Linked DNA regions of Pelodiscus sinensis. Each later gene encodes a partner of the first gene's protein in a complex. Links are inferred from orthologs where the notes say so. Each region holds a gene or a part of one and is shown on either strand. Other genes may lie near its edges. The genes, in order: LEPR and LEP.

Region 1 (11,159 bases):
TATTGTTAGAAGACTTGCATTTTCTCCCTTAACTCATTTTTTTTAAAGTCATTGTTCACACTTTGGTGGGGTAAAAGGCACTAAACTCAGAGCCCAATCCAACACAACAGGAGCAGCAGCTGCCACCTTACCCTAAGGGTGCCCCTCTATGAAGTCTCAAAGGGCTTAGTCCTGTTGGTGCTTTTTTCCTACCCTATATCAGAGCTGTGGAGAGGTTCAGTGAATGTGCAGATGACCTCTAACTTTGGTTTGCTTTACAAATGTGTATGGGACTGTTTTCCAGTTTCTGAATGTTATTGGAACAAAGATAAAAAGAAGCTGCCCCAACTAAATCCACATTAGACAGATGTGATGGCAGTAGGAAAAAACAAGCATTCTAAGGAACTCACTGTAGCAGTGACCTCATTTTCTATCCGGGGCATCTGTCCACTGGTGGTCATATTAATACCTGATGTCCAAGTTCTATTTGATTTATTACTACTTACTCACATGGAAGCAGTGACCAGAAATTCCTTTGCCATCTTCCTAACCAGACAAGTATGATACTTCTTCTTGGTTATAGATCTACTTGTAGGGACCACCTTCAGCCTCCTTAGGTTTTACAGTGAAAGCATTATGGAAGCTGCACCTAGTACATCAAGGTGTGGTCTATGTACTGACAAGGACAAATGAGAGTACATACCTCACTGATGCACCATGATCTACTTTGAAGTAGTACCATGAGAACTGAATTCAACCCAAAATAGTGGCACTGATCTTAAAGCCCTTTTATGGGATAGCTCTGGGTACGTCTACACTACAGTGCTAGTTCGAACTAACTTAGTTCGAATTAGTTAATTTGAACTAAGCTAGTTCGAACTAACGCATCTAGAACTAAAAACTAGTTCGAACTAGCGTTTTGCTAGTTCGAACTAGCAAGTCCACATTGAGTGGACTCTGAACAGGGCTTAAGGATGGCCGGAAGCAGTGCCGGCAGGGCATAAAAGGAGGACTTAGAGCATGGAGATGCTGTCTCAGGCTAGCCGAGGGCTGCGCTTAAAGGGTCCCGACGCCCACCCCGGACACACAGTTCTAAGGGGTGCCCCGCTTGCAAAGAAGTTTTGGCTTGGAGTGCCCTGAGTGCCCACACTGGACACATCACACCACTCGGCCATCAGCCCGGCTGCACTTGCCGCAGGCTGCCATCTGGGGAGAGGGAGTAATTGGGGGGCTGCAGGAGAGCTTCCACCCCCAGAAGCCCGCAGAGCCAGCCCAGTCCTCCCCATCGGGGGCTCGTACCCCATTCCTCCCTCACCTCCTTCCACTTACCCTTCCTTAGCCCCCCTTCTTATTGATGTACAAAATAAAGATAACGTTTCTTCCAACATTGACTCTGTCTTTATTGAAAAAAAACTGGGGGAGACTGGGAAAAGGAGGTGGGAGAGGGGAAGAGAAAGGCTGGGAGAAGGGAGGGCAACTAACATGATCAGGGGTTGGGAACAGGTCCCAGATGAAGAAAGGCTACAGAGACTGGGACTGTTCAGCTTAGAAAAGAGGAGACGGAGGGGGGACAGGATAGAGGTCTCTAAAAGCAGGGGTTGGGTGGAGAGGGTGCATTCAGAAAAGTTCTTCCTGAGTTCCCATAAAGAAGGACTAGAGGACACCAAAGGAAAGGAATGGGTAGCAGGCTTCAAACTAGTAAGAGAAAGTTGTTGTTCTTGACAAAGCAAATAGTTAACCCGTGGAACTCCTTGCTGCAGGAGGCTGTGAAGGCTACAACTAGAACAGAGTTTAAAGGGAAGTGAGATCAAGTCATGGAGGTTGGGTCCATGGAGTCCTATTAGCCAGAGGGTAGGAGTGGTGTCCCTGCCCAAAGTTTGTGGAAGGCTGGAGAGGGATGGCACGAGACAAATGGCTTGGTCATTGTCTTTGGTCCATCCCCTCCAGGGTCCCTAGGGTTGGCCGCTGTTGGCAGACAGGCTACTGGGCTAGATGGACCTTTGGTCTGACCCAGGACGGCCATTGTAAGCTCAGGGCTCAGGGTCGGGGGTCTCAGAGGACCCCCTTGATTTTCATGCACACCTGGTCCTGGGTGGCCAGGCTGGCAGCTCTCCTGCCCTAGACGGCCACTTTCCTGTGCCTAGTGCGGAGATCGTGGACGAGGTCCACGATGTCCGCACTAGCCCAGGAAGGTGCCCGCCTCTTGCGGTCCAGGGCAAACTCCCGGGAGCCGCCAGCCTGGTCCCGGCAAGAGGGGGTGGGCTGGGGGGCATCGGATGGGTGGCTCTGTGCCGTGCCAGGTGCAGGGTCTGCTAGCTGGGTGCTGGCAGGCTTGCACCTGGCACGGGCACCGTAGCCAGCCCGTGCCCCTTTAAGGGGTCCGGGGCCGGGAGGGGGGCATAGAGTTTCCCTGGTGTTGGCCAGAGTGGCCACCAGGGAAACCTGGGGAGGGCTAGCCTCCCACTAGTTCGAACTAAAGGGCTACACAGCCCTTAGTTCAAACTAGCTAGTTCGAACTAGGCGTTAGTCCTCGTAAAATGAGGTTTACCTAGTTCGAACTAAGCGCTCCGCTAGTTCGATTCAAATTCGAACTAGCGGAGCGCTAGTGTAGCACCTATTAAAGTTAGTTCGAACTAACGTCCGTTAGTTCGAACTAACTTTGTAGTGTAGACATACCCTCCGATACTTAAGTCACAGTCTTTTCTCTATGGCAGTTATTGATGGGAACTCTGTGACTGACAGTTCTCAAGGGAAAGCTCTAAGGACTTGGGTTAAGACCTGTTCTCTTGGCTGTGGGATTTCCTTCCAGGCAATGAAGATATATGCCAGAGTCAAGGTGAGATAATTCTATAGCACAATTGTGATAATATCTAAAAAATATGGAGAGTAACAATAATCAGTGTACTTCAGTGCAGTACATGTCTGATTTCCTGGCTCCCCCCCGCAGCCCAACTGAGCTGCATGCCAGTTCCCGGGACCCCCTTGTACTCCAACTGAGCCGCCCACCGGCTCCTGTGCTGCTCCCTCCTCCCACAGCCCAACTGAACCATGCCTGGATCTGATTTCTGAAAGTATGTTTTCTGTGCATCAGGAGCTAAATTTTCACACTGAAAATCAGGTGGTCTACTAACCCTCATCTAGCACCACTCAGGTCCTGCGGATGCTGGACCAGGGAGGTTCAACCTATATAATCATTGTGTAATATTAGTAGTAGTCAGTGGTTCTGTCATGTAAAACATCACCTCCCAATTTTGTCTGTTAGAAATACAGAAAAGAATGGTTAATTTTCATTATAGGTCTATGGTAATTCTGGACACATTTAGAGCAAGAGCTGTAATTTGTTTATTACTTCCAGACTTCGTGTCCATCTATTACAGAATGGACTACTGGAGGGAGAAGTGTTGGTAGTTATGTGTTCTATGTTAATATGACTCTGTGTTAACTCTGACTGATATGGGATTTCCCCTATAGCTCTGCAGAGTAAACCCAGCTCAGCTGCTTATGGTTTGACAGATTAGAAAAACACTGCCAACCAGAAGAGTAAATCTTCATACTGAGTAGAGGCAGTGAAATAGTAAATCTAAGAGATCTTGGAATGTAGCCCAAAATGTACTTTAATTTTTCCTTTATCTAGTTTTAAATTGTACGTCTTTAGCTCTTGTCTGTATCTGCAAACCATAACTCTATGTAATACAGTATAGAAGAAATGCCCTTACTGGGAAGAGTACTGGCACCATAGCCTTAATGAAGGGAGATAATCCCGTTGACTTGTTCTGAATCTGTTGTGTTGGAGTTTACTTCTTTCGGGAATTTGATATTCCAAGTAAAATTAATTGGACTAAATCTTTTCAAAGTCAGCAGATGACCTGTCTGGGATGACTGACAAAGCCAGCGACTCATTTGTATCTGTAATTCAGTCTATAGAATTGAACTCCTGTTGAAGATTGAGGGTTTGTTGATTACATAGGATAAAAGGTTGGAAAAATATGCAAATGTGACATGTCTTTAAGTCTGTAACAGGTAGACAGGAGGTAGTAGCGGCTGCAGGAAGTTTTACCTAGAAGCTCCACAGTGAGGTCAAAGAAGACCAGTGCTAGCTTTAGCAATAATACTGGTTTCTTTATTATAATAAAGTTTTATGTTCCATATTGGGAGATAACTTTCTGTAGCATTGCTGCTATTTAGAATTCTTGTTTGAGTCCCAGACCTTTTGAGTATCCTTGCCAAGCAGTGCACTGGAGGTTTGTAGGAATTGGGAAGGAATTCTGCTCTCTTCTCTTCCCACATGCAGGTTCCCTCTCTTCAGGCCACAAATTTGGCAGCAGATTGGTTGCACTAGTCCCTGTGGTCGGTGCACTTCTCAGTATCCTGCTTTATGCAGGAAATGAATTACTAGTGGCTCCATGTAGTCATGGTTATAAGGCCCCTAGATAACGAGATCCCCTATGGGAGCCTTGTTTATGCCGTAAGCAACACCTGATGGCATGGGAAGGATTCAGATTCAGAATGAGGTTTTGCTCTGTAGTATATAGTGGTTATGGATGTCTTTGGGGACGTGCCCAAATCATGATTTCTGATCCTGGGTTTATAGATTCCATTGCAGGTAGGGTTCTCAGTCCAGTATGAGGGAAAGTATGATCAAGCACAGGAGGGTGAATTTTGTTGGGAGAAAATTCAGGACTGAATAGTAAACTTACTGAAAAATGCTTTTGATGAGCCACTGAAACTGTTCACCAATTCAGGCTGAATGTAGCAAGACACTGCAGCTGAAAGAAGCCTGGAAACAAGAAAGAATGGTTGAAGTTCATTTTGAAAATGACAAAATAAACCATTTTGAAATGATATTTGAAATGGGTTGTTGAATGCAATCTCTCTCTCTCTCTCTCTCTCTCTCTCTCTCCTTTCTGTTTCATTGAGAATCTCAATTTTAGTTTGAAACAAGCCCATTGCCTTCAGATTTTTTAGTTCAGTTGCTGAACTAAAAGGTCAATTATTAGCTCAGCCCTACAGACAAGTTGTATGAATGTAAAACTCAAAACCCAAGACCTCTGCTGAATAATTCATACCTCTGCAGATATTGTAGATACATTGATCATAATTACAAACATCTTTTGTAATTGGGTGTGAGTAGAATTTGAGAGACTACATGGCAAAAATCTGAAATTGTACTAAGCAATTATGTTTTAATTGTCGTGCTTAACTTTCCACTGTTTAAATGACTTCTTTCTGACTGAAAACGAATTACAGAAATCATGGGGATCAAACGTGTGCTGTATATTGGAAATTGCTATCTCTGTCATTTTAACTGTGCAGATTCACAATATCTTGAAGGGGAAGAATAGGAAATAATTTGCTTGTGAGTCAGGAAATGCATAAGGAATGAAGAGCGCTTCCTAAGTGTAATGGTGAGAGATTGCCTGTTTGATATTTAATCAATACTCTAAGCAGTGTTTCTTTTCTGCTGTGATGCTGTCTGTTCTGTCTTCCTTCCTGTAAAAGAGCAAACATCAAATTAATAAAGCACACCATTATTTTTAATTTTAAGAATTATACAGAGCCATGGTATGTTTAAGGAATCTATATTTTCATAGGTTAACAACATTTAAAGAATAGGCTTTTAAAGGATGCCAAGATCAAACAGAATAATAGATGTACTTCTGAAATGGAAACAATCTCTTCCATTGTTTCTTAATTTATTACATTTTGGTTGTTTTTTTCAGAACAAGATGTATTTGCATAAACTTTTGACTGTGTTTCTGCACTTGGGTAAGTTGTACTGAAAATGTGGGTTTTTCTGAACATATTCTGTAGCTATTGACTTTGACAAAGTAAAAACTTGATTCTGCAAGATGCTGAATGCCCTCATTTCCAATGGAAACATTTGATGCACAGTACCTTACAGACTGGACAATAACTTTCTGATGAAAATAACAATGCAAGTGATAGCTGATCAATATCTAATTAGCTAGTTTTGATAAAAAAATGATTGACAAACCTGCAACTGTAATACATTTATTATAGTTAGTCAAGAGAAACTAGTGCAGCTCCCATAACTAGCATTCATACAGATAAGAATTTTATGGGCAATCTGGACCCCGCTGAAGTCAGAACAGAACTCATATTGACTTCAATGGAGTGAGGCTTTCACATGAAGTTGGTTGGTTTGGTTTAGTGCAAAAACATATCCCCCTACTTCATATACAGAATCGTTGGAATGAGTGATCAGTTTATGGTAAATATAATAGCTCAAATATGAGGACTTCATTTTTCCTTTCTGATGTAGAAGAAATAAACAGAGTAGATTAAATCAGATGTGCATGAATTTTCTCATGCACATTAATATTGGTATATGCTGTAGAACAGATTTCATTTCACTTGTAACTTTAGTTTAGTTGGCAAATTGTCCTTTTAAATTTCCCAAGATGTTGATGAAAGATAAAGTAGATATTTAAATCCAATGCACTATGTTGTTTCAAAAGTTGTTTCTCTCCAATCTTTGCAGCAGGTTTTCTTAGGCTTTTTCATGTCTTTATTTGTTCAATATCAAATGGGTCATTACATTGTCCCAATTTAATTCATATCTTAAAATTACCTGCATTTATAGAAATGTCTTTTAATTGGGCAACTAGAGCGCTCAGGGGACTTGAATTGGGAGATAGAGTTGTTTGTCTCTAGTCACTGGTCAGCAGATTTCTACTTGTACTGTTGCTTCTTATACTAGACCTGTTCTCTAGATAAATTCCTATATCGGTGACAAGTGAATATTCTTACTGTCTACTGATTTATAGAAAAAAGCATGTGTTTATTGAGGAATATAAAATACACAAGCCTGTGCTCAGTAATACTATTACAATTTTATTGTAGCTTATTCATTTCATTTACCTTTCTTGAAAAGGTATTGTAGCAATGGCATGCACATTGATCTGATGGGATTTGGTTGGTTTGTCCTGTGAGATTCTGCAGTGTGATTTGTCCTTCAAAATTAATATATATCTATATCTATATCTATAAGACAAACTGAAATCCCCTTTCAGTGCCAGCTGTAAAATGGGCAGCATATTAGTTGTATATCCTGACCCGTAGATAGTCATGTCCCTCAATTTGTTTTTGCATCATGGATAATGCACTAATATTCTGTTCAGTTAACTGAATTTTCTACATGGAGTCAGGGAACTTAATGACACTGATGTTTGACAAGGCACAGACTCTGCCTTGTTAAACAAGAGAAAATACACACCATTATGGGTACTGCTGATCATAAAATATGTATATCCAAAGAAACTGAACACTTCAGATACTGATGTGAATAACATGAATTTACCTATCAGAGGGGTAGCCGTGCATCTGACGAAGTGGGTCTTTGCCCATGAAAGCTTGTGCTCCAATAAATCTTTTAGTCTATGAGATGCCACAGGACTCCTTGTCACTTTTGCATAAATTTACCTAGAAACCTATTTTTCACTTTGCAGTGGTTTACTATTCAGTTTATGTAAATATTCTAGCAGATTGTGCTTGTGAAGACAAAAGACAAATACTCTCTTGTTTTTGTTATTGTGGGATCCATTTACAAGATGTTTAGGCTCAAGACATTTTTATGTAATAAACTGTAAATATTTCCTGCATGTTACACTAAAAACAAGGATACCTGTAAGCCAGTTACATGAATTTCAATAACTAAAGCTTTTTTTAATTCAAAGAGGCATATTTATCTTTATCAGAAGTATTATTAGCAGACTTCAGTCTCTGATTTACCAACAGAAGCCATGTAATATAACAAATGTGTTCCTACATTATATACAGTTTTTATTTTCAAGGCATCTAACCTTAATAGAAAATACCACCTTTTACTAGATATTATTTTCTATAAAATCAGTCTTTTGGGACTGTTTATCTACTTGGCCATTTTTGTAAAACACATTAAACATGGATTTAACAATTGTAAATAGTGTCTTGTAAAATCACAAACAAGTGTATGGTGGCAGCATTTAAAAACTATTACAATGAACAAAACCTGAAAGAAAAGACATCTGATAATTTTAAATGAAATCTTGGCATCATTGAAGCCCCTTGACACAACTTTCAATTACTTCTGTGTAGCCAGGACAAGGCTGCCAACTGCAGAAAACTGTTTTTATGGAAAGTATAGAAAAGAATTATGGACAACCAAACTTTTTATGGACATTCTTATATAATGTAAAGATGGCTCAAAAGGACAAAACTGAATAGTAGGCTGTTGTGATGTATGAATAAACACATTGAAAAGTTATTATGCTAGTTTAACTTGCCTACTAGCCACATCAGCATCCTCCAAGTTCTGCAGTTTGTGATCAAACATCGCAACAGTCACACTGTCAAACTTTGTATTAATAATGTTTTTTGACAGCCAATAATCCTTCCTGCATAGGACTTGACAGTTTATATCTCTCTCTATATATTAAAAAAACCTTTTCCTACGGGATGACAAAGTGATGGCATCACGTCACTCTACGTCCCCAGGAGCCCTGACCACATGACAGCTCTGTGAAATGGGGAGACAGTATCTACATGATTTTACAGATTCTATGCACAGGTCCAATTTTCACACGTTTTTTATGGACTATCTGTGAATTTACTGCTGGCTGACAACCCTGATTCAGGATTTCACATATTATCACTGTAGGTTTTTACATTATTATAAACACTAGAATTTCTTTTGCATGTCTTTAGAAAATGCTACAAATAACATTTTTAATGCAGTTTCTGTACTCACATGATGATATTCGTTAGCAAGGACAAAATATTTCTACATATATTATTAGTTAACAGAGAGTTAAGCCACAATATTAAAATTCAGTTTATGAACACCCCAAAATTGGGCATATCCAGGTTCTAAAAATTTAGAAGATAGCTGCAAAATGTGGACCCAAGTCTGGATTTTCAGACCTCACAGTTTGTGTGTGTTCAGCTTTAGGGCTAAATTTTCTCCTAAATTGATGCATCACCTTTGACTTCAATCCCTGTTTAATGTGTTAATTCTAATTAATTTGCAGCAGTTTACACCAGGAGACAACTATAGATTTTTCTCGTGTTGGCCTATCTTTGTTTTTGTTTTTTTCTAATGTGATGTTATATGCAGTAATTATAAAAAATGAGCAAAGGTAACTTTATTCAGGTATGAGGCATATGGGTGAGATCTGGAAGCCTAATTGAATAAATCTATGCTAATTCAGAGGAGACTGGCACTTGGAGATTCTTGTCTAATATTTTTAAGCACCTTTGTTTCCTTGGAACAGCAGCTAGTTTATTTTCATAGTTGCAAGTAGCGTAACTCATTTTCTTCTTTATATCTTTGTATTTCCAGATTTTATTCAGCTGGCAGTTTCTCACTGTATGGTACATCAGATTCCAGCATCAAGCTTTATGTTCCCTTGCATGTCACCAAATGAGACTTCTGGGGTTGTGGAGAGCAGTCCTGGGTCACCTGGAGAGCATGGAACTGCTGAAACCAATTCTCTGGTGCAGGTGGCTGAAGAGAGTTTGCTCTGTTGCCTATGGAATGAAACACACTCAGATTGTTCTTTGTACACAGCAGGCATTGAAACAAAGACATTTATTTCCTCAGAAGTAAATATCTTAGCACCTCAGCAAACAAGTAGGTTTCTAGTGTAGCTCTTTAAAGTGAGTCAATAATGGACATTGTGTTTTCTTTGGGTTTTGAATATTTTCTTATTGTTATCACTTGTTTCCATTTGTGCCTGGATTGTACTGGTCACTGTACAAACTTAAATGAAGGCAAATTTCTTGCCCTGGAGAGAGTGAAGAGTGCCAAGTAGAAAGGCAGACAAAAGATAGAAGTGGTGAATGGTCACGTGTTGATGATATAAATCCATTTTGTTAGTCATATAGATGACTGTCCTCAGTTGTCCCTTACTTTTAGCACTTACTTACTAGTTGGCCAACTTCTTGTGAGTGTCATGATAGAACTGGGTCTGCAGAGGCATGCTGAATAAAATGTAGATAAGGACATAGACATTTTGAATGGATTTTTAGCTTGAGAAAGTGAATCTTGCCCTGCCTTCAGGTCCACGGTATGTTATCATCCACTGTGTCTATACTTGCATCCTGTCATTTGAAAGATGGTTGTTTATTCCTCTTGCCCTCGTGCACAATGTACGTAGTGGGAAAGGTAATGCTGAAAGTCCAATTGAGATAAGCAAGGTCAAGATTTTATCCTGTATTTTCAGCACTGCCTCTGATCAGGTCTTCTTTTCAAGAAATGGTCAGAATTATTGTATTGATTTCTAATGCTGCAAAGAGGTGTTGTTCCTGAATGGTAGCAAAAAGATTAAAAATAATATTAGAAACTTAACATGTCCATTCATCTCCTACCCCCCTGCTAAAAATTGTCACTAGCTGCACATTAGAAAATTTGTTTAAACTATTTTTTGTGATTATAATATGTTAATTTTATGTCCTGTTCTGTACATTCTTTGGAGTAAGAGGCTACCTGGCGGATCATTAATTTTTAAATGCAGTATTTAACGTGGCAACATCTTAAATGCAACTGCTAAGATATTTAGGAACCTAAATCTTTTCTCAGAAGGATTTAGGCACTTAGGAAACAACTGTCAATATGATTTTGCTAAGTGCTAAAACCATTTGGAAATATATTTAGGCTCCTAAATCAGTTGGGCATTGCAATGCTGAATGCAGCAACACATATCTTTTAAAAATCAGGGCCTAAAGCCCTAATCTTGCAGACATTGCTTACTCGCTCACACAAATAGCCCGAAATTCCAAAGGACTAGTCACATAAGTAATATAATGCACATGATTTGCCTGGTTCGGACCCAATACAGTTATGAGAGAGTATTATTTTTGAAATGTCCTGGTTTTTCATTTTAGTGTAGCATATGTGCTAGAGCATAAGACTTACAGATAAATTTTATTTCTTTAAATGTCTTTGGTTTCAGTATGGTTTAGAAAATGTTTACCTCTTTTAAATATAGATTTAAGCTGGGACATTCAATGTTGGACTAACGGAAACCTGGAACTGTTAGTTTGTGTCCTGAAATTGTCTAACAAGAAGTCATATTTGAATGGAGAATTCAAGATTAATCTTTTGTATGTTCTGTAAGTATAAAATATATGACGCTTCCCATTTGTAAGGATATCCTAAAATACCAATAAAGGTCCTATGA
Region 2 (11,159 bases), on another chromosome or scaffold:
CCTGTCCCTCCATAGGCCCCCTCCATTCCTGCCCCCATGGTCACTGTGTAAGGCCTGCGGGAACCGAGCGGGGGCCTCAGGAGCTCAGTGCACGAAGAGGGAGAAGCCGGCCGGCGCCCAGCTAAGGCCACATTGCAAACTCCTTCTCGGTCGCTAAGGGCCCTGCCTGGGCCAGTGACCCCCCAGCAGGCGTGTGGGTGACCCGTGCGCACAGCTGTGTCCCGCCTGCCCCCCCGGGCAGCAGCCAAGGGGCAGAGCGGAGGGGGAAGGGCCCCGGGGCGGAGCTCTGAGCCCTCGGTCGGGAAGTGCTGGGCCCGTGTAAGGGCCGGTCCGCGCCAAAACCTTCCCTTGCCCTGGCAGAGTAAATCCAGCCCCCAGCTCTGCCGGCCAGGCCAGGCCCCGAACCGCCCTCCCCCCGCCCTGGGGCCAGAGCCCTGTGTGACATAGTGGGGGGGAGGGGCTGTCCACGCCTGTGGCCCTGGGCCCACGCCGGCGGGGCAGGCACTGGTGGCCGTGTTGGGCTGGGGTGCCCCCTACTGGCCCATGTCTGTGTGCAGGGCCCAGCGGGGTCCCTGGGGGCAGGTACGGAGGCCATGGCCCAGCAACAGCCCACGTGGCGAGGGGGAGGGGTTTGAACAGAGGAGGGGGGGCTACTGGGGGGGTGAGTGACGGTGGCTGGGGGGGCAGTCGCGGCTGGGCACACGTGGAGAGAACAGACTAAGTCGAGCACTGGGGGCTCAGGGGCCTGTGGACCCGCCCGAGGGGTCTGAGGCTGCCTGGCCCTGACTCCGCTGCCCACATGGAACCGGGGCCGGGCTGGGCCTCCGAGAGGCAAGAACCCCTCCCCGTCCTACTGCCCGGCGGAGTCCCCTCTGGCTGCGGACGGGGAGCAGGGTCGGGGGCCCCCCCGCGCCGTCACCCCCTGCCGCGGCCGGAGCCAAAGCGCAGGGACCCGCAGGGCGGATCCGTGTGCAGAACGGGCGCCTCCCCCCGCAAAGTCTGCCCGAGTTTCTGAACGGAAAGGCCACGAAATCCCCTCGCCAGGGCCACTGGGGACAGGTCAGCTGCAAAGGGATTCACTTTACTTCCAACCAGAGCACAGCAGAAATAAATACGCACGTCACAGAGTCGTAGCATCCCAGAGCTGGCGGAGACCGCGGGAGGTCACCACGTCCAGCCCCCCGCCCGCGGCAGGACCAGTCTGCCCCGCCGCGGCGCTTCCACCCGCCCCCTCCCTCTGGGCGGACGGGACCTTCCGAGTGAGCCAGGAGGGCCGCTAACCGCCCCTCTCCTCCCGCAGCGGGGGGCTGCCCCTAGACAGGCAGCTGGGTCAGTGCAGCCCAGTTCAAACTTAAATTAAACACAAAATCGAAAGAATAAATAAATCCTGGAAACTTGCTCCCGGCCCCTCTGCTCCTGCCGGCAGTTCAGACTGTCCGCGAAGCACCGGGCAGTAAGGGCTCCGTGCGCTGCTCCTTGCTCAACCGGCAGTGCGGAGGCCTGGCTCGAGTCCGGGGCTCCGGTATCGTCGTGCCGCGCTGGCGGGGGAAGGACGCTGCCGGTCGGCGCAGCGCAGGGGGGCCTGGCTCTGGCGCCGTGCGGCGGCCGGTCCCCGCTAGCAGTGCTGGAGGCGATCCAGGCGCTTGAGGATGCCGTGCAGGTTCTGCCGGAGCCGGGCCAGCGCCACCACGTCCACGGTGTACGAGGAGGTGGCCAGCAGCTCCGTCAGGTTGCCCAGCACGTCGAGCGCCGGGGCCCTGTGGATGGCGCAGCCCAGCTGGGACGCCAGGGTCTGGAGCAGGCTCCGGAGGTTCTCGAGGTCGTTGGCGATTTGGGCTAACGGCCCGTTTTCCGAGGCCAGGCTGGGGAGGAGCCTCTGGAACAGCTGCAAGGTCTGGTCCATGGAGTCCAGGCTCCCCAGGGGCTGCTCTCCCGGGATGAAGTCCAGGCCGTTGATCTTCAGGTTGAGAGGCAAGGGCTGGGCGGAGGAGAAGGCTGGTCAGCCAGGCAGGTGCAGGGCTGCTCTCTCCTCTCCCCGGGGCTGCCCCCCCACTAGGCCAGACAGCTCCTCTTGGGGCCAAGCTGGGACGGGTGGGCCCCCTTTCCAGGGGCTGTCGGCAGCACAGAGCAGGGAGGGGAGGGGCCCATGACCGGGGGGGGGGGGTGGTTCCATCTGCATCCTGAGGCCCCCTGCCCTGGATTCACCCAGAGTTACCCTGGGGGGTCCCAAGCCAGCGGGGGAGGGGGCAAGGTCATGGCCAGTATCCCCTGTAAGCTGGGTGCTTGGGGGCCACTGAGGATTATCACAGTTGGCAGCAGGTGGTGCACCCCCTCACATGCCTCGCTGCGCAGAACAAAATGTATTCCGCACGCAGGAGAGGACACATGACAGGGGACGGTGCCATGGCATGCAAGGGGCACAGGCAGGAGAAAGTTTGCAGCCCGTGGCAGCGAGCGACTCACTTTGGGGCGGGAGGAAGGACGGGCCCTGGAGCTGGCTCCATCCTCTAGCTGAGCCACTAGGCTGTCCTGGGCACCTGCTAAGCGGCTCGCGGAGCCAGGGGCTGCGAGGTGCAGGTCCGTAGGGCTCAGGGTGGGCGTGCGAGATGCACACGGAGCCCTGCAGAGCAAGGAGCTAGCGGCCCCGTGCGGGAGCGGACAAGGGGCCCAAAGCAGCAGGGGGTGCTAGCCGCCAGGACGGGACACCCAGCAGCCCGGCCTCGGAGGTTAGCTGTCCCAGGGAGGACTGTGGATTTAAGGCTCCCTCCAATTTGTCCGCCTCTGTGCGGAATAACGTTTGCTGTGTGCACCAAGGCAAGAGCAGATGTGCACCACCGATAGAAACACATGCAACCTGCTCTGGAGGCCCGTGGGTGCTCGGCTCATCAGCTGGGTGGCACCTCAATCTCTCCCTGCCACCGGCATCCCCCTGGCTTCTCTAGGCTGGCGCCGATTTGCACCTTCTGGGGGCTGGCCCGGGAGTCTGCTGGCGCCCGCGGGTGACACGCAGCCCCGTGGCCCCCGCTGGCTCGCCCCTCCTACCTGCTGCTCCGGGATGCGGGCGATGATGATCCGCGTGAGGGCTTTGGCGTCGGCCTTGACCTTGTCGATTTTCACCGGCCGGCTGGAGAAGAGGGGCAGCCAGACCCCGACCCAGAGCAGCCCGCAGAGCGGCAAGGGGGGACGCTGCATCTTCCTCCTGCCTTCTTCGCCGAGGCCCTGCGTGGGCGAGAGCGGGGCTGTGAAACACCCTCGTGTTTGTGTGACACACCCCTCGAACCCACGTCCAGGGGAGAGACGAACAAGGGAGCTCTACCGCCTTAGCTGAGCGCCAGCCGGCGTCATCGCTCCAGGGCTACGTCTAGACTGCGGCTTTTGCCGCAAGAGCCTACGCAAAGGAAGTGTGGATTAGCATATCGCCACGCTTCATTTGCATAATTCATTCAAGCGCTTTTTGTGCACTTTGGGGGGAGGGGGCTGTGCAACCCCCCCATTTTGCACAAGATTTTTATGCCTTTGCGGGAGAGAACATAAGAACATAAGAACGGCCGGACGGGGTCAGCCCGAAGGTCCGTCTAGCCCAGTGTCCTGTCTGCCGACAGTGGCCAGCACCAGGTGCCCCAGAGGGGGTGGACCGAAGACAATGATCAGGGGGGAGGTTAGTGCCTATGAGATAATGTTATTAGCTATCTGCTTCCCCAATTATCACCCCAATATCATCATCTCATAGACACTAACCCCCCCCCACCCGCTTCTGTTCTAAAATCTGGTTTGTCAATTTCACATGTGTTCATTTTTTTGATTGTCTCCCTTTGGTATATATGGTCGTGCCAATTTTCTTCCACTATTTGATCTGAGGAAGTGGGTCTGGCCCACGAAAGCTCCTCACCTAATACACCATCTTGGTAGCCTGTAAAGTGCTGCACAGTCCTGTCTTTTGTTTCAGCTACGCCAGACTAACACGGCTACATCTCTATTACTATTTTTAAACTCTGTTCTAGTCCTGGCCTTCACAGCCTCCTCTGGCAAGGAGTTCCACAGGTTAACTACACGCTGTGTGAAGAAGAACTTTCTTTTATTCGTTTTAAACCTGCTCCCCATTCATTTCATTTGGTGTCCTCTAGTCCTTCTATTATAGGAACGAGTAAATCACTTTTCTTTATTCACCCTCTCCACACCACTCATGCTTTTATAGACCTCTATCATATCCCCCCTCAGTCTCCTCTTTTCTAAGCTGAAAAGGCCCAGTCGCTTTAGCCTCTCTTCATATGGGACCTGTCCCAAACCCCGAAGAGGCCCAAGGATCTTGCGCAAAACGGGGGTTTTGCACAATAAAACCCCCTCCACGCTGCTTCTTTTTGTGCAAAAAGAAACGGCAGGAAATATGCTAATGAGATTGCGACTCATGCTAACGAGTCCCTCATTAGCATATTTTGTGCCGAGAAAACTCGTGGTGTAGACGTAGCCAACCTGCCCAGGCTCCTACAGGAAGCTCCAGAGGATCCAGGTTCAAATCCGCCCGGTGGCAGTTTGCAGCCGCCCTCGGCTCTGCCTGCGCAAGGAAGAAGCAGCCCCTGGAATCTGCCTCGGGGATATTTAGCCCGTGACGCGGTTGGAGCCAGGGCCCAGACCTGCCCCCCAGGGGCCCAGGAGCTCTCCCTGGAGGTAAAGGCCTGATGTTTCCAGCTGCATGGCCCGGGCACCTGCCGCCCTCCCCGGGGGTCGGACCGAGCTGGGAGCAGTTTGGCTGAGCTGCCCCAGGGCGGGGCGGGTGCTGCATGGACCCAGGCTCTGCCCCACAGAGCCCCGGGCTGGCGAGCCGGCAGGTGGGCCGGGCGGGGCGGGTGCTGCATGGACCCAGGCTCTGCCCCACAGAGCCCCGGGCTGGCGAGCCGGCAGGTGGGCCGGGCGGGGCGGGTGCTGCATGGACCCAGGCTCTGCCCCACAGAGCCCCGGGCTGGCGAGCCGGCAGGTGGGCCGGGCGGGGCGGGTGCTGCATGGACCCAGGCTCTGCCCCACAGAGCCCCGGGCTGGCGAGCCGGCAGGTGGGCCGGGCGGGGAGCCGCTGGGGAGCGGTCGGACTGAACGGCTTCCCCGCAGGCGACAGGCTGTGTCAGCCCCAGGAACGGAGCCAAGGGCTCCTGGCTCTAGGCTGCTCCGTCAGCCGCAAGCTCGCCCCTCCCGGCAGGGCCTTGGCCTGCAGAGCAGCTCCCTGCCGCTCCCCACGTCCTCAGGTCACCCTGCGGCTCACTTGGCAGCCGGCTGGCGCCCTTCCCCGGCTCCAGGGAAGGGGCGGGCTGGCCGGGGGCGCATGCGGCTCCGCACCCTCTGTGCTGTGTCAAGGTTTCGCTTTGAGATTCCTGGCAGGGCTCCCTGCCTCGGGCCGGGATTCCCAGCAGAGCTGCCTGGGGCCGGGCCCTGGACTGCTCCCCGTGCCCCCCGGCTAGTCCCTCCTGCCCTGCAGAAAAGCCCCCCTGCCCCGGGCAAGCCAGAGCCAGCCGCGCCCCCCAGGCAAGCCAGAGCCAGCCGCGCCCCCCAGGCAAGCCAGAGCCAGCCCTGCCCCCCAGGCAAGCTAGAGCCAGCCGCGCCCCCCAGGCAAGCTAGAGCCAGCCCTGCCCCAGGGGTTCCTTAGGGTTCCTGGGTGCACAGTGCGGCCAGTTTCCCCTGTCCCTGCCGGGGGGTTCATGGCAGCGCTGCCTACTGGTGGGCGCAGGGCGGTGCCCGGGAGGGGCTGGTGATGAGCTGAAGCGGGAGGCGGGACGGAGGCCAGAGGAGCCGCGAGGCCTTGCAGCGCTCTGGGGCCGAGGTCAGAGGCCCGCGTGACTCTAGCTGGGTTCTGGCACAGTGCCCATCCCCCTTGCCTCTGATCCTGGCACAGTGCCCATCCCCCTTGCCTCTGATCCTGGCACAGTGCCCATCCCCCTTGCCTCTGATCCGCTCGCTGCCGTGCGGGAGGCGGGCAGCCCAGAGGCGTCCGGCCTTGCTAACGGGTCACGTTACGGTGCCCAGTTATGGGGGCAGAGAATTGTCCGGCTGGGCTGACGCGCTGCCCGCTGCCCAGGCAGCCAGCCCCGGCCCCCCGCACCAGCCCTGCCCGTCCGCATGTGGCAGGGAATGTTCCCCTCAGCGGCTCGCCAGGCCCCGGCCCCTCCGCCGAGCCCCTGTGCCAGGCACAGCCCACGGGCACCCGCCCTGGCGCAGGAACAGAGAGGGGAGCGGGCTGGTCCTTCCTGCCGGGACCCAGCGGGACGGGTCAGAGGCTCGGGGGGCGCGTGCCCCTCCAGCCGCCTGGCGTTACCCGGGAAGGGGGCCGGGGGCCTGCCCGGAGCTGTGAGCAAGACCCGGCCTGGGAGACCCCCGAGGGGCAGCGAGGGACACGGGTGAGAACTCAGGACCGGTCGGTTTGCGCCCATGACTCTTTGGGCCCCCCCCACCTGGGTGCAGTTTCACACGGGCTGGGTAGCACCTCGGGGTGGTTTGGCAGGGCTGGGACACCCGAGCGCCCAGAGGGAGCTGCCCCTCCCCCCCGCTGCACCCCCTGGGCCTTGGGCTGAGCTAGCACCAGCCCCCCCCCCCCAGCACATCAAGAGAGGACTGTGGCTCTGCTGGCATCACGCCAGCCCCAGGCCCCTGGGCACTCTTCGCCTCCCCTCCCCCCACTGCCTCAGTTTCCCTGACGCCTTTCTCCCGTTCTCACCTGCTTCTTTGCTTTGGGCTGCTCTCTCCTCAGCCCCCCCTCCCCAGGATGCCCCTGTCTAGCTGGGCTCACAGGACTCCTCCTCTCCTCTCCCCCCCTCCGAGAGGGGCAAAGCCCCCCCCCCCGCCCCGCTTCGCACAACACTGCCACCTGGCGCTGTCCCTCCCACTCACCTCCGAGCATCAGCCCCAGTTACCAGCTGGGGAAACTGAGGCACGGAGCGCGTCCGGGACCGGCAGAGCCAGGCGGGGACCTCATCTGCCCCCAGCCCCCGCCCCACTCGCGGGGCCGCGGTCCCCGCCCCCCCGCGCCCCGAGGGGCTCTTCCCAGTCCGCGCCGGGGCAGAGGCGCGGGGCTCCGGCCGGGACAGGACGGGAAGGGCTCCCCCCACCTTACCTCCCGGCTCGCTTCCCGCCGCGCCGCTGGCCCCATGTCGGGCTGGGCCGGCTTATATAGCGCCGCGGCGGGATTGCTCAAGGGTTACTCATCCCCCCGGCTCCGGCTCCGGCTCCGGCTCCCCCCGGGCCGGGCCGGGCCGCGCCGCGGGTCTTGGGCGCCCCTTCCAGCCTCCCGCTCCGGGACTAGCGCCCCCCACCCCAGCCGTGCGCCCCCTCCGCCCTTCCCCCCCCACTCACCCCCCCTCCTCCGCCGCCCCTCCCCCACCCCTCCCCGCTCCAGCCACCCCCCCATTCAAGGGATGAATGAAGGAGCCGGAGAAGGGGGTAGCAGGGAGGGGCAAAGCCGGAGATCGAGACAGAGCTGCCCCCGGGACTCCAGACCGACCAGGCTGGGAAGAGCTTCCCCCCGGCCTCCCCAAACTGAGCGAGTGGGCAACACGACGGCCAATGAAGGGGCGGTGGGTCAGTGGAAGTGACGCACACGCCCAGCGAGAGGGGCTAATGCAGCCCCAGGACCCCGGGGAGAGCCCGGAGTCGCGCCGACACTTCTCGGAAGGCGTGTGCGCAGCGGCCGGCGCAAAGCAAACAGGATGTTTGGAGTCATTAAACAAGCGCTAGAGAATGAGGGAGACTAGTTTATTGCCCTTCCGTAAAGCCACGGGACGCCCACATCTGGAGCACAGGGCAGATGTGCTCGCCTCCTCTCCGAAAAGATAGGCCGGCGCTAGAAAAGGTTCAGAGAAGAGCAACTGAACTGATTTGGGGTTTGGAAGGGTCCCATGTGAGGAGAGGTTAAAGCGACTGGGACTTTGCAGCTTGGAAAAGAGGAGACTGAGGGGGGATAGGAGAGAGGTCCGTAAAATCCTGAGTGGTGGGCAGAGGGTGAATACAGAAAAGTTCTTCATTAGTTCTCATAATAGAATAACTAGAGGACACCAAATGAAATGAATGGGCAGCAGGTTTAAAACTAATAAAAGGAAGTTTTTCTTCACTCAGCGCACAGTCAATCTGTGGAACTCCTCGCCAGAGGATGCGGTGAAGACCAGAACTTTAACAGGGTTCAAAAAAGAGCTAGATAGATTAATGGAGGTTAAGTCCATGAGTGGCTACTTGCCAGGATGGGTAAGGAAGGGGGTCCCTGGCCTCTGTTGGTCAGAGGGTGGAGATGGACAACAGGAGAGAAATCCCTTGATCTATCCCTCATCCTTCCACCCCTCACCCATCCAACCATCCCGCCACCTCAGCTACCCATCCATCCCCCACCCCCCTCCACCGCCCCCATCTACCCCACCCCCATTTCTCCATCCAAACCCGCTTGTCCAACCAGGCACCTACCCCCATGCCCCCATCTGTCGGGCTGTCTGTCGCAGGGCCCGGCCCGGCTGCGAGGGAGGGAGTGAGTCCTTTCCGCACTCTGGTGGGACAGAAACGCCGGGCCCCTCCCCTGCTCGCGGCTGGGCGAATCCGTATGAAGGGCTCTTCCTGCCGGGACTTTGGACTCCACTTTGACCGGGTCCGAGTTCCGTGCCCCAGCCGCGTTTCCCGCGCTGGATTGGCGACGCGGGACGCACCACGGGGCAGGGGCGCGCGGGGCTGCGGAGGAGCCCGGCACCTTCGGAACATGGGGCCGATCTGGCCTGCACCAAAGACACCCCGAGCTCGCTCTGGCCCCGAGCAACCGCTCCCCCCTTGTCCCGGAAACTGCCTGCTAGCGGCAGGGCCCTTCCAGCCTGGCTGAGCTGGCTTCCCTGCATTCGGCACCCAGAGCCGCGCAATATTTTCAAAAGCTGCGCGGGGGGGAGGGGAGGGTAAGGATGGGGGGGCTAGCGGAGGGGTGAAGAGAACAGCAGCCGGAGTGGGGGGCTCTGAGCTCCTTTCCATTACGGAAGGCAGCGACTGGCGCAAGGAAAGTCCGAGCTGCGCGGGAAGCTGCCCGGCAGGCGGAGGTTGTTAAAACAATTCAAAATTCCAGCTGGCGCATTTGCCGCAGCGGCGCCGCTCTCGGGGGGACAGAGGCAGCGTTGGGTCCAATCCCTGGGCGGTGTTTTAGGGGCTGCTTCCCCTCCCCAGGACTCCCTGCAGCCCTTCCTATCCTCAGCCCCTCCCCCTCTGCCCCAGTTCCCTTTCGGCTCCGGTGAGCCAGAAAACAGGCAACGGGCGCTGAAAATAGCCCAGCGTTCCGCTGCGTTTTCAAAATGTGCCTGGGGGGGTGGGGGGGGGCAGGGACCCCAGAGCCGCCTCCCAGGGCCACAGGCCCCCTGTGCACACAGGCCCAGTTAACTCCCCTTCCTACTGGGCACCGCTGCCCTCGAGCATGCGCCAGCCTGTTCCCCTGGCCTGCCACGTACAGGTCTGTCGCGGGGGGGTCTCCATGCTCAGAGCTGTAGCCCCCCCGCCGGGGTGTGCCGGGGAGTTTACAGGATTGGATCACCCGGGAACTCGCAGAGCAGCTCGGGGGCTTTGGTGCGCGACCTCGCAGGCCTGGGGAAGGCTGAATAGAACCAGACGCCCAGAACACTAGGACTGGCAGGGACCTCGAGAGCCGCCGGGTCCAGTCCCCTGCCCTGAAACCAGCAGGCCAGCTTGTCGCAATTACCGCGGGCACCAGGCTCGCCCCCGGTCGCCGTTGCTGCTGGCCGCTGGCCCTGGCGCTGTGCAACAGGAGCTGGGGCTGGGCAGACCTTTGGGCCGCACTGATGCTCTTATTACCTACAGCCCCTAAGTCCCTGGCAGAGTCCGGGCGCTGTTCCTGGGGCTGCGGCCTGGCACCGTGCCCCCGGGCTCAGGCAGCGGCTCTCCGCCTGAGTCGCTCTCAGCATAGAGCCGATGCTGCGGCTGGGGTGTCGCGGCGCCCTGCCACGTCCAGCCCGGGGTGGGTTGTTCTCCCCTGCAGCCTGTGCCAGGCTTGGCAAGGCCAGGGACCGGCTGGCCACCTTCCTGCACTGAGCAGGGAGCTCCCGGGGCCATGAACCAGGGCAGAGCTGGGGGAGCGTCCCGTGGGCCGTGGCAGGGAGCTCTCGGAAGCGCTGGGCCGGGGGCAGGGTGTGACTCCTGTGGCGGGAAAGGGAAGGGAACGTCACTCAGGAGCGCGTTTCCTCTGGCAGGAAATAGCAGTTGGCTGCGTCCCCAGGGCCGCAGGGTTATTCGCCGGCTGCCAGCCCGGCGCCCGGTGCCTCTTTCCAGCTCCTCCTCGGCTGTGTCAACCGGGTGGGGCCGGCCCTGGCAGGTTTTCTCAGTTGAGCAACCCCCCTCACACGAGTAATCCCAGTGACGTCAGCGGGCCGGGCCTGGCGCTCATGTGCCCCCAACTCCCCCGCCCGGGCGCCCCCCCGGCGGCACAGGCCTGAGCACGCCTCCGCCGGGGGCTTTACTGGACCACGTCAGGCGGCTGGCCGTGTGCCCGCGGGCACCCCCTTCCCCAGGCCGAGTCACGCCCAGCTCCAGCCCAGGGGTCTGCCCCCCGCCCCTGCTCTCCGGCACAGCCCTCGGTCACTCTAGGCAGGCCCCGCTGGGCCCCACGGCTTGGTGCACCCCAAAGGGGCGTTGCCAAAACCTGCCCTTGGGTGGCCTGGCAGAGTGAGCGCTGGCCGGGCCCAGCGACGTTTGTCTGGAAAATTGCCTGGTTCCAGCCACAAAAAATGCCCCTCCCCCAGACTTTTGCCTTTCCCCCTCCCTGTGGTGTGCACAGAAAGCCGGCGCGGACTCTGCCGTGTGCTCTGGGCACAGGCCCAGCATCTGCCGCTATCCCCAGCGCCGGCCCCGACGGCTCTGCTCAGCATGTTGGGATCTCTGCTGCCCAGGGTGCCTGGAGGGGCCGTTGTTAAAGGGACAGTCCTGTATTTAAGCCCACCTGCAGGCGTCCCCACTTTAAAAAAGGGGGGGGAGGTTGCTTCATATTTTCTGCCTCTCCCCTCCCATCAGTACTGGCGGGTCCTGGTGCTGGCCGGATCCGGGTCGCCAGATGCCCACCCAGTTAGAGGGGGATCCTGTGGCCGATGCTGGGGGGGAGCGTGCCAGGCTGGCTGCTCCCCTTGCTGGTCTGTCAGTGCCACCCCTGCTGAGGC

Evidence for each region.
Region 2: the proteins of LEPR (region 1) and LEP are in contact, whole or in part, in a crystal structure (PDB 7Z3R), measured with the Mus musculus proteins. The link is inferred for Pelodiscus sinensis from reciprocal best matches to the Homo sapiens genes LEPR and LEP. Residues at the interface, in NP_666258.2 of Mus musculus: Tyr439, Leu440, Thr441, Arg466, Ser468, Leu469, Tyr470, Gln499, Pro500, Ile501, Phe502, Leu503, Leu504, Ser505, Val560, Phe561, Glu563, Asn564; in NP_032519.1 of Mus musculus: Lys26, Val27, Asp30, Thr33, Leu34, Lys36, Thr37, Thr40, Arg41, Gln92, Gln96, Asn99, Asp100, Glu102, Asn103, Asp106, Leu107, Leu110.

What each region holds. Positions count from the first base shown.
Region 1 is NC_134719.1:18,301,212-18,312,370, forward strand, and holds the start of LEPR (leptin receptor), read left to right. Parts: upstream 1-5,105; 5' UTR 5,106-5,381; coding exon 5,382-5,384; intron 5,385-5,699; coding exon 5,700-5,745; intron 5,746-9,319; coding exon 9,320-9,610; intron 9,611-10,967; coding exon 10,968-11,091; intron 11,092-11,159. UniProt on the Homo sapiens protein: Receptor for hormone LEP/leptin. On ligand binding, mediates LEP central and peripheral effects through the activation of different signaling pathways such as JAK2/STAT3 and MAPK cascade/FOS.
Region 2 is NC_134711.1:14,404-25,562, forward strand, and holds LEP (leptin), read right to left. Parts: upstream 7,206-11,159; 5' UTR 7,130-7,205; coding exon 7,094-7,129; intron 3,220-7,093; coding exon 3,043-3,219; intron 1,979-3,042; coding exon 1,616-1,978; 3' UTR 270-1,615; downstream 1-269. UniProt on the Homo sapiens protein: Key player in the regulation of energy balance and body weight control. Once released into the circulation, has central and peripheral effects by binding LEPR, found in many tissues, which results in the activation of several major signaling pathways.